Linked DNA regions of Oryzias latipes. The protein of the gene in region 2 purifies or fractionates together with the protein of the main gene of each other region. This does not show direct contact. Links are inferred from orthologs where the notes say so. Each region holds a gene or a part of one and is shown on either strand. Other genes may lie near its edges.

Region 1 (3,465 bases), on a different chromosome or scaffold from region 2:
ATGCCTTTTTTCCCCCAGAACATTTGGAAAATGTAATGCATGAATTCTCTGCTCAAACTGAATGAACCAATATGAAATACAATATGAACACGTAACGTTAAAATATCGCTGGCAATGCTAATAAACTCCCAAATGCATAAAACATGCTGGAATGAATTAAAAATTTTAATAAAATATAGAAATGGCACTTGAGTTTCAAACTTAACGATCATTTAACAGCTGACCTGTAATCGTTAAATTTAGTTTGGTACTAATTTGATCAAATGCACAGATGTTAATTGTTTTATAATATATATTTATATACATCCATAACCTTTTAGTGAATAAAACTATATGTGATCACAGCCATCTATTTGAGGAAACTAGAGCGGAAAATGTAGTTAAAGTCAACAAAAAGCTTTGTGTTTCTTGTACTTTCTTAAGTCGAACTGTGTTTTAGAGCATTGATTTTCAGATTACAGTAGAGACATTTGGGCCAGCCTAAGTGAATGTATAGAACAGAGGCAAAACTTTAAGAAACATTCACAAACATAAAATCAAGCAAGCAGATAAAAGCTGATTTATTGCAATTGTATCTAAAACTGTTAAGCAAAGCAGTGAATGTATTTTAAAACATTCCTCTATCATCTTTACTGGAATTGCACACCTACCACGTTTCTTTTTTTTTAACATGCAATTCATGTTTTCTACAACACTTGAAAGGACAGAATAGACAAGCTATTTACTTTGAAAGAAAAAGCAAGCATGTTTTTTTATGCAGAAGTCATGAAATACTTCCTGGTTTAAACTCACAGTTAAATGATATGTCACAAATTCAACCAGCAAAAGCAAAAAAAACAAAAAAAAGGCAAAGTGCAAAAGCTGTAAAAAAAAAGTACAAAAAGCAAACTCTCCATATAACTTAATCTATGTGCATTCAACTTTTATTTTAAATACTGAAAAAAAGTGGAATTTAAGAATAATTATTTTAAATTCTCTACACAAAATGCTTAACTGCCAAAGTAAAAGTACTTAAAACATCCTTAATAAATACATGCAACTGGTTTTACCAACATCAGTAAAACTTTAACTTCTTAGAGAGCTGCTTCAGATTGCACTCAGTATTTTCACTTTTATAAGAAAAAAAGCAGTTAAATTTGAAATTTTAAAAAAAAATGCAGCAAGTTAATGTTACTATGACAGTTGTGTAACATGGAAATAAAAACTAGTGATTTTTTTTGCCATTTATAATTATAAAAGCATTCCAGTAAACCATATAAACATGATAAAAAAAAGCAATGTGTCACTATTGGTCATTTAAATATATAAAAGGCTTTTTATTGAGGATTAGCTGTAATCTGGACTGCCAGCGTTTAGCATGTCTATTCTGTGACAAAGTGCCCCAAAACCATACAAAACGGAAAATCAAAAGCCAGACCAAAAGAATGAAAAGTTCCTTTTTCTGGGAATAAAGAAAACTGGGATCAGAGATGAAAGAAAAGGATGAAGGGGGTAGTGTAAGCGGTTTAATAATCTGTGTTCATAAATAGAGGCCGAATATTTGGTTGCAGTTTCAGTTTTCAGAAACAAAACATTTTCTCTGAAGGTCTTTTGTTCCGTTTTGCTTTGATGAAACCCAAATAACAGGAAAAAAAGCTCTAAACCTAAACAAAAAGGTGAAGCATTTTTCAGTTACTAACTGACATTTGTCTGTCGTGTAAACCCGCCGTCTACAACGATTAAAAGTAGCTGTCTTAGTTAATTACTGGACAGGAAGGTATTTAATAAAAAAAATGTTCCGATTCGTCCGAAACATCTCCAATGACATCCAGTTTTTTCAGACTCATTTCCTGCAGGGTTTCATTTCTTTGCTTTTGCATGAGGACTCAAAATGAGTTCACCTCATTTGAAAAGCCAATGCTTTAGGTTTTAAAGTAATTTAGCTCATGGCAAACTGGTACCATGTTATGAAGTGAACTGTAAACACTGCAACTTGCAATTTTTCTCTTTATTTTATGGTCTTAAATTGATTTTGGAGGGGGGAAAAAAGAGAAATAAATTAAAGACTATAGAATGTATCTAATGTTGTAAATCAGGAAGCATGTATAAAATGGTTCCAATGTAAAAAAAAATAAAAAATAAAGTACCACTGAGGCTTTGCTTCACACAGAGGCAAAAGCGAAGCGTTTGAAAGCCAGTCGGGGGATTTGCCTTATTTGAATGAGTCCTAACTACCAGACAGGTTGAAGGATTATTTATTCATTCTTGCAGCTCCAGCTCGGCGGGGGCAGCGCAGCCTTTATGGTGGGCAGAAATCGGCAAAGTAAGGGTGCTGCAAGGCTTCCTCTGCAGAGATCCTCTGGACAGGATTACATTTCAACAGATTCTGGATAAGATCAAAGACAAAAACTTTAATGAGCGAAAAACATTCTTAGAAAAAAACCCAAAACAAATTCCAAGTATCACTACGTCAACTCAAGTGAGTGAAGTGAAGTACAGGATTTTAAACAGCGTAACATGTAAACTCCTCAAAGATCACATTAAAATGAAACCCCCTATAATAACTCAATATATAAAAAAGAGGCCCGTTTGGAGTACCTGTAGTAAATCCCGTCCTGTATTACTTAGTTTTGGAACCACGTTAACCAGTGAGGTGGTTGCTGGATACATAGGATATGGCTGGCAAGAAAACAAACAAAAAAAAAGAAAATTGTTAGCAGTTGATTCAGAAAGTAAATTGATATAAAAGTTGGATGAATTAATTTACCTTGTAATCTGGAAGTTTTGTCATTGTTGGCCACTGCTCCTCCGTTGGTGTACCCAACAATGTATCAAAAACACTTAAAGAAGAATGTTTCTCAAAGCAGATTATTATTATCATACAATGGGAATAATTGGCTTTTTACTGACAGTGCATGTAAAAATATTGAAAGAAAAAAAGAAAGGATATCTGAAGATCCTTTTTAATTGGTCGTCGACATCATTGCCTGGGAATAAAGGGCGCCCGGCGTTTGCCAGTTCTGAAACACGGCAGAATAAGCAATGAGGTTTCATCTGGTTTCTAAAAATGCATCATATGTTAGACAAAACAGGAAGTGCTAGACAGCTGATCACATCTTTTAATCCCAGGTTCAGAGCTTCTATATTTAAGCCCACGGCTCCACCATTTTCCTTTCTTTTTTTGAATCTCCAACACATGAAATGCTTTGTAGCTGGCAGCAAGGCTGAATGTAAACCATCCTACACAGCTGATACGTTGATCCTATAGATTTACATTAATTGCAGAAGACAATATCCCAACTAGAGTACAAGAAAACCTGTGTTTGATATTTATGTGCTCGATGCTGACGTCTTTTTCACCACCGCAGTATGATCATTTACTTATGCAAAACCCAATTCCAGACATTGCATACATTTACATTCAGTGGAGGACAGAGGATGTAAACAGGCATAATTCAGGAAATGCATACATATTTGGAGAGAAAA
Region 2 (4,268 bases):
TCCTGCTGCAAAAGCCGCTTTCTGCCGCTATCTCCGTGTCTCTGTGACCCACATGCGTTCAAGAGGGGAAAAACTAAAAACAAGAATGATCGATTTATTATTGTCTCGATGAAAATAAGAAAAATATCATAAGATTTAAGATTCCCAAGCTTCGCCATACCGCACCAATTCACCGGACATAGCTCTTACTAGCTCCGTTGCAGAGCTCTTTTGCTTGTCTCATTTGTATTTGTGGATTGGATGGGCTGGTGATCAGAAAGCAGGTTTTTAATGGAAATACTCAGAAATGCGTGAATGGATCAAAACACCGCTTTGGGGTTTCTTCTCATGAGGAATGATTATCATACACTTAAAAGCTCAACATTTGGACTTTTTTACTTTGACTCAAATAGATTGGTATGTAGAGTATAAAAATCTAAGAGTATAATCTGTGCAGACGGTGAAATTAACAGTGAATTTCACTTTTACACGTTTTTTTTCTTGAGGTCTTAGATTTTAATATAAAATATAAACAGACACAGATTACATGTTTTTATAAAATCACTGTTAGTGTGTTCATACATCTAATCAGAGTCATCCTTAACTCATCTGTGAACAAATTAATTATAGATTTCTCTTATTTCTGTAGAATCTTCTATTTGTTAAAATAATTCAGATACTATTTTAGTTACTAAGGCCAAACCCACAGAGGGCAATTTTCCTAATTTTTCCAAATAAAATAGACACCAGAAGCAAGTATTTTCTTTATTATACTTATTCTTATGTTCATGATCAAATATTTTATTTAGTCAAATAAGTCATGTATGTATGCTTTGTTTTACTTTTTTATTTTCATCATCTTTGCAAAAAATTTCTTTCATTTTTATAGATTAATTTATGATTTGCTGAAAATATTTATTATATAATAATTTATTTGCATGTTAAAAAATACTAACTGCATCAAATCGTTTCCATGCAATTTCCAAGTTAAAAAAATAATCATCCTATTTAAAGAAAAAAAACTATTATATTGTAAAATGACTTAACTAAAAGTACTTTCAAAATTATTTATGAATACAAAAGCTAATGCCATGGCACTAAAGTAGAGTTTTTAAAAGAACAATGAATCAAATCAACCTTACCTGTAAAGTTTACAATGCAGACTTTTGGAATCCACGAATTTGATTTATTTTACATTACAATAATTTCTTGAATTTTTTGGCAACAAAACTACTGTTCTATTCGTTATTAAATGTTATAATATCCTTATCAAATTAAGTTCCACTTTAGATCATTACATGATAAAAACTATTTTTCATAACTAAACAAAAAGATTTAGTATTGGAAATTAAAATTAATAATAAATCCTCAATCCAAACTATGTTAAATATGAAGCTAACTTGTGAATCAAATCCCTTTAGTTGTGATGACCATGATGCAAACAATTAATTTAATTATTTAATTAAGTAATTTTAACAGTGATCATCTTCTCATGTTGTGCAGCTGTCACAGACATGACATCATGTCTCAACCAGACAAGTGTTATTAGAAGATCAAACGGAGGATGTTGTTACTCTCCTACCTGTGTATCCATCCAACCAGAGCTGGTAAACTTCTTCGCTCATGATGATGGTGTTCCCTACAAACACATCCAGTTCTACTGCCATCTGTGAAGGTCGAAGAAAAAGAACCGGACGTTAGAAAATAGGGTTAAGTTAAGGCAGGTTAAGTGAATAACAGCAGAAATTAAACTAACTCAGACAAGTTAAAATATTACAACTCTATTTTCTACCTTGTTTTCAGCGTTGAATGAACTGGTTTTTATGTAAGAACCTTTGATTAAAAGTAACTCTTTGGTTTCTGTTAGCTGGGCTTTGGTGGACTCGCCATCGATAATTGGCTTTAGCTTCAGTGCTAGCTAGGTAGCAAAGTTAGCATCCGTTCATTTACAGAGAAAAAAAAACTATCATACGACGAAACTGTGACATGGCACAAAATTGAAAAGAAAAAACAATAAATAAATAAAACGCAATCAAACAACTGCCGTAGGCTTAAAAAGCAGTTTACAGCACGAACATCTCTGATAAAACGGTACTCGATCTCTGTGGTTTGGGCTCTGCAGTGTCAACACACTAACACGAGCTTCCGGTGACGTGACGTCATAGGAAGTCTCAGCCAATCGCATGAAATCATGAAGCGGGGCTGCAAAATAAAATAAAAAAAGATAAAATATCTATAATGTTATAATAAGTTGATAATTTTTCCCCCCAAAAGAAATCTCTCACTTAAGTGGTGTATACATACACAAACCAAACAGAATTTACAATTTTTTAGACTAAATTCTAAATTTAGAGTTTTTAATAATGTAGGTGTCCCTGTCAGGTTACAGAATGTAAAGGTGAAGAAGGTGGACAATTCTAAATGCATTGTCTGGAATAATGCAGAGATGAACAGGTGTGACTAACAGTTTAGAGTTGTCATCAAGAATGAATGAAAAGGTGCAGAAGACTTTGGGGAGAACAGATATGTTGTTGGTTTGGAGACAGAGGCTCTGAGAAACAAACTGGAGGCAGAGCTGAACATGTTTAGGTTCTCTTTATAGGACTGGCAATAACAGGTAGGATCAGGCATTAGTTTATCAGAGGGACTGTTTCGAATGTTTTGGTGAAAAAAGACAGGAAAACGAGATTTAGAAGATTCAGATGAAGAATGAACTATAAAATATATTTGCAAAAGGATACCTGCACTCCTACTGCCATGACCAAGGCCCTATGGAAACTCCTGCAGGAACTCCAGCGATGTAGTGAAAGAGAACATGAGTTTTGGCTGGCATCAGTGAGGAGGATGCAGAGGGATATTGTCCTGTAGCGAACAGCCAAAAGGAGAAAAAAAAGAGTAAATTGGAACAGTTCTTCGAGATCTAAATAACACAGGGCAATCTTTTGGGAACAAACAATGTATAGTTTACAGCAACAATTTAAAAGTATACTTAATAGGATACATGCTGTAATAAGTATATATATACAGTATTATAATGACATTTTGCTCAAAGTGTGTGAAGATGTTTGAAGATTAGGCTGGAGTTTTGTTTGTTTTAGTTTGTTTGCAACATAATTTGATATAATATTCTTATTAAATTATATCATCTCATACTTTCTTTCCTTTTCAAACAAACACAAGAAAATGTTAATTGCTATTTGCTGCTACAGTTCAAGAAAAGCACACCTAAACATTTTTTTTTGCAAGTTAGAAAACAGCCGAAACATGTGATTTACATGTGATATACTTTTTTCCCCCCATTAATAGTTAATTTAATAGTGAAACGTATGGTAACATTTATCTACTGCATTTGCTTTGTGCTGTGCACGATCACAGAGGAGGCTGTGGTCTATCCAATCTGCTTCAGGGTGAGGGCGACGCGCACATGGTCAGTTTTTCAGTCCATCACAGGCACACAGACAAACAACCACTGAAGCATGTTTTTGGACTGAGAGAGGAAACAGAGCTAACCAACAAGGACTTTAACCAACACCTTCTTGCTGTGAGGAGCTAAGCACTACACCAGTGTGCAGCCCAGTACAACTCCATTCATTCATTTTTTTAAAATATTTTTCAATAAGATTATTTGAACAACCAAACAGCTCCAATCAACTGTACTAATTTCCCATTAATGTAACACAAATTCATTACATTTTTATTTCTCTCAGCTTAAAATCAAATGATGGTGAATAATCAAAACGGTCTGCAGCAGAGCATTTTACAGCACCGCTCATTTTTCTGGCTGACCTTTGTTCTTGCATTAATGAATTCATTACAAACTTCATAACATCAAAAATAGACATATTTGCCTGAAGCAACTCTACAGTTTATGGTTTGCTTTGCTGCTTGCTTGTACACAATCTGCTCTCTTTTCCTCTGGGGATTAATCCAAATAAATCCCTGTAAATCTCTCTCCTCACCCTCCCTTTCTGTGTTTCCGCGCGTGTCCTTTAAAATCGCAACATGGGGAGAAAAAAAGAGCCAGTCATTGTGTCCTTTTTCTCAGATCTCTTGCAGCACGTCAACACTCTCATTTCTAACCTCATATGACACCCAGAGTCCATGCACAGATTCCCACTTGCAGGGTTAACACCCTGCATTGTTGTGGCCTCACTGAAACAATGGAGGTGGGACAGAGGCCGGAAGGATGTGGCTGAATGCCTCAGCATAAACCCATGAAAAAAAAGTCTATCGTCACAAAATGTTCTGTGGAAAGAAACTTGTAATGTCTCATGATGTATTTACTCCAT
Region 3 (3,568 bases), on a different chromosome or scaffold from region 2:
ATCCAGTCGTATCCAGATGACAGCTCAGACGAGGAAAACGAAGGCGTACATGGATCTATTTGTCAGAGAGGGAGCTTGTGGCTTTCTACGTCACCAATACAATCTTTTTTTAAATGTATTTTTTCCTCTGCTCCGCTGAATTTGCTTGGTATTTGTCCTCTATTATCAGAGCAATCGCACAAGAATGTTAAAAACACCAAAAAAACGACTTCCATCGAAGTGGGTCATTAAACAGTTTGCATAAAGACATTTATAAATTGTCTGCTTATGATCAAGAATTCAAATAAACTTTTAAACTGGTTTAAAAAATAAGTAAAAATCTGAATTTGGCTCAACTGCTCATGTGTGGGTCTTTAGTTTCAGGATGACATGAGCGTTCATGCTGTGAGGTGTACGTATGAGACAATCACTTGGAGAGCATGCGTTGCCATGCTTTGTCAACGAAGCAGACAGACAGGAAGACGATGTCTGCAGACAGACAGACAGACCTGGGCACAGCTGTTAACAAAGTGTGAATGCAGTATTTACGGTGGAGGACATGTGGGGAAAGAGGACTTCTTTCTTTCTGCCGTTTGTGAGGCATGGAGACGCACGGGGAAACAGCTATGAGCAGAGCTGAGCACATGGACACGGACCAGAGTGTGAAAGGTGCTCCACTGCAGTTACCTGAGGTGGCTTCCATCCGGACACCACGAACCTTCAGAGCCAGACACTACACATATTGTATGCAGAGGGCTGGAAATCATTGCAGCTCTCGCAGGAAAGCGTTGCACCCAGCCCCACAATAATCACCAACAGTGTGCAGGAAAATGTGATTCGAACATCCCCCCCCCCCCCCCCCCCCCCCCCCCCCCCCCCAAGAATTCACACTCAAATAGTGGAAACTGTTCTCGGAATTTTCCAGATGCAAATGCAGAGAAGAGATAAAGGATTTTTAGCGAACTGCTTATCATGCAAGTCTACAGAAGGAGAGAGAAGAAATCATCGTGGTGACTGGGGCTACGGTTGTTTCAAAGCTAAGCAGCTGATTGTGATCTTCCTGAGAAGCGGGGTGTCAACTTTCACACTCCAGCTTGATTTTAAAATGCTCCCCCCTCCCCCCTCCCTCAAACAGCATGCACAGAGGGGTGTGTAAGTGCATATGTCAGCTTGTGCGATTGCTTTGTGAAACCGTGTTCTGTGTTTGCGAGTATGATCACCAGAGTGTGCTAGAGACTGTGTCCTCCTACTTGTCTTAACTGATCCTCGTCTTATGGTGTGAGCTTTCAGCCTAAGCAGCTCTAGCCAGGTGCTGCATCTGTCTGCAAAGGAACCGTAATCAACGGAGGCAGCTGGAGAGAACACACGCAAACACACATACACACACACACACACACACACAAAACAACGTGGACACAGCCCGCACCCGCACATACACAAACGGCATCCAAAATAAAGACAAATCAAAAACAACAATACACAGAAAACGAAGAAACAGAAGATAAAAAAGAACAAAAGTGGATGAGGTTTGGGAGTGGTGCAAGAGAACTGTCAGAGACAAAAGGATGAGAAGTAAAAATAAGGCTGTGTTGTCGTTTTTGGTAGTTGGTAGGTGTGTGAGGGGGCGGTAGGTAGAAGACAAGAAAGCAGACTTACCTCTGGTAGACAAATGAGAACTTTCTGGAACACCTGTCACACAAACAAACAGACGTCCATGTCTAACTTTGTGCATTGCAAAAAATGCAAATTTGCATTTTGGTAACGCCAAATGTAAACGCTCCAAGCATATGGGGTCAAATCAGGATCAGCTTAGCGTGAATGAAAATCTGATAGCAAATTTAAAAAAGTTCTCTTAAAAGTTGAACAGTTTTAAACTCCAAAGTACACATTGTAAATTTGAAGGAAATATTAAAATTGAAAAAAAAAATTATTTGTAAACACTTTAAAGAAATATTGAAAATATTTCAATTTTAAAAATAAATGTATAAATTATATAAAAAATATTTTCAATTTGACAGAACGAGGACTGGCACAGGCAGCACGGTTTTGGAGTGGAAATGACCCCCCCTTATCACGTCTCCTGATGTCAATCAGGTCCGGGTGGCCAATGGGGTCAAAGACCCACCCACACAGAAAATAAAGCACAGCTCAAAAAAACAAACAGTCTGAATTGAAATAGTTAATTTAGGACAGAAAGTGAAAAAAGGAAAAGAAACAAAAAAACAAAAGATGGAAATACAAAAAAAACGCTCTCTTTTCAACATTTCCTTCAAGTTTGAAATATATGTTTTTTAAATGTTCATAAATACTAAACAAAATACACAATAAAATGTATTTTATTTTCCAATTTTTAACTATTTACTTATATTTTTCAAATGTGTACTTTTGAGTTTAAAGCAGTTTCCCCCCAAATCTAAAATCTGGTTTTTCATTCACTTTGAGCTGATCCTGATTTGACCCCATACTAGCGCTCGTGTCCATTTGATGGAAGTTTAGCCATACCATAATCTACAGTCACAGCAAAACCAAAACACACAGCCTACTTCAAATCACTGTTTGGTTACCTGCTGAACGAACCACAATCAGCTGATTTTGGTTGAGTTTTGCAGCTGGGGTGATTAAAGACAATGTACCAGAAGTATCAGTGAAGGATTTGGGCAGTGCCTGTTAGTCAAGCAAAGCAGGGGAGGAGGTGGGGACGCTGCTAGAAACAAGCGAGTAAAATACCTGAGTTTTTTGAGGAAGACTGAGAGTTGATGGATGACGAATCTGTACACAGCTCCAGGGAAAACTGCAGCTGGTCTTCAGCCTCACTGCAACCTTTGAAGATATTTCATTGTCAATAGGCAGGGTTTCAAAGGAAAATGTGAGACACGTGTAACTGTAAGTAGTACCACGGCTGCATGGAGTCAGAAGTTATTTGAGGCTGTTGAGAAAACCTGATAAACTTGACTGTTTCTATTTAAATTGAGATTTGTTTTTTAAACTTTACAATGAGGGAAATGCCTCTGGAAAAGAAGAATCTAATCATCACCGTGTTTGATGGTTTAAGTAAAAAAATGAAAGATTTACCGGGGTAATAACCTTTGAGAAAGAAAAATGCATGGTTGCTCCAATTAAGAAAACCTTTAATATTTAATTAAATCTGTCATTCCCGTCAAATCTTTAGAATATTACCTTCTCTTTATAGTAATGATTTGCATTTGTCCATCTAGGAAGAGATACTTCCAGATGCAATGTGGAATAAATTTCTCACTTTAAGCCCCACTCAGGTCATTTTTGGAGCTATTGAAAAAGCGTTTCCTAAGGTCTTTTAATTATGGTTGCAATGTTCCCTTATTTATTGCAGGATATACGCTCCATAAAGCGATCGGTGAAATGTAGACAGTAGGATTAAAGGTGTGTAAGGCTGTAAAACCCTTCACTATACATTTAATAGGCTTTTCTTTTGAATATACAATAATATTATGTCACTTTTCTCTCTTGTTTAAACCTAAAGTTCACAGAAAAAATGGGTTCAGTTTTATATCTGATCGATCTGAAGATCGTGTGTTGTTTTCTAGGTTTAGAAAAGTTCTGCAGAGCGGCA

The links.
Region 1: the proteins of fibp (region 2) and cdk5 purify together in Homo sapiens (affinity purification with mass spectrometry; 7 studies listed by BioGRID and IntAct, counting the BioPlex papers as one, with this or other methods). This does not show direct contact. The link is inferred for Oryzias latipes from reciprocal best matches to the Homo sapiens genes FIBP and CDK5.
Region 3: the proteins of fibp (region 2) and c2cd5 purify together in Homo sapiens (affinity purification with mass spectrometry; 3 studies listed by BioGRID and IntAct, counting the BioPlex papers as one, with this or other methods). This does not show direct contact. The link is inferred for Oryzias latipes from reciprocal best matches to the Homo sapiens genes FIBP and C2CD5.

The regions. Positions count from the first base shown.
Region 1 is NC_019875.2:27,780,597-27,784,061, forward strand, and holds the end of cdk5 (cyclin-dependent-like kinase 5), read right to left. Parts: intron 3,000-3,465; coding exon 2,930-2,999; intron 2,808-2,929; coding exon 2,747-2,807; intron 2,659-2,746; coding exon 2,578-2,658; intron 2,366-2,577; coding exon 2,279-2,365; 3' UTR 532-2,278; downstream 1-531. UniProt on the Homo sapiens protein: Proline-directed serine/threonine-protein kinase essential for neuronal cell cycle arrest and differentiation and may be involved in apoptotic cell death in neuronal diseases by triggering abortive cell cycle re-entry. Interacts with D1 and D3-type G1 cyclins.
Region 2 is NC_019868.2:11,647,858-11,652,125, forward strand, and holds the start of fibp (acidic fibroblast growth factor intracellular-binding protein), read right to left. Parts: upstream 2,815-4,268; 5' UTR 2,739-2,814; coding exon 2,721-2,738; intron 2,129-2,720; exon of another isoform or gene 1,772-2,128; intron 1,647-1,771; coding exon 1,562-1,646; intron 1-1,561. UniProt on the Homo sapiens protein: May be involved in mitogenic function of FGF1. May mediate with IER2 FGF-signaling in the establishment of laterality in the embryo.
Region 3 is NC_019864.2:19,276,849-19,280,416, reverse strand, and holds part of c2cd5 (C2 domain-containing protein 5), read right to left. Parts: intron 2,800-3,568; coding exon 2,707-2,799; intron 1,669-2,706; coding exon 1,636-1,668; intron 1,332-1,635; coding exon 1,200-1,331; intron 1-1,199. UniProt on the Homo sapiens protein: Required for insulin-stimulated glucose transport and glucose transporter SLC2A4/GLUT4 translocation from intracellular glucose storage vesicle (GSV) to the plasma membrane (PM) in adipocytes.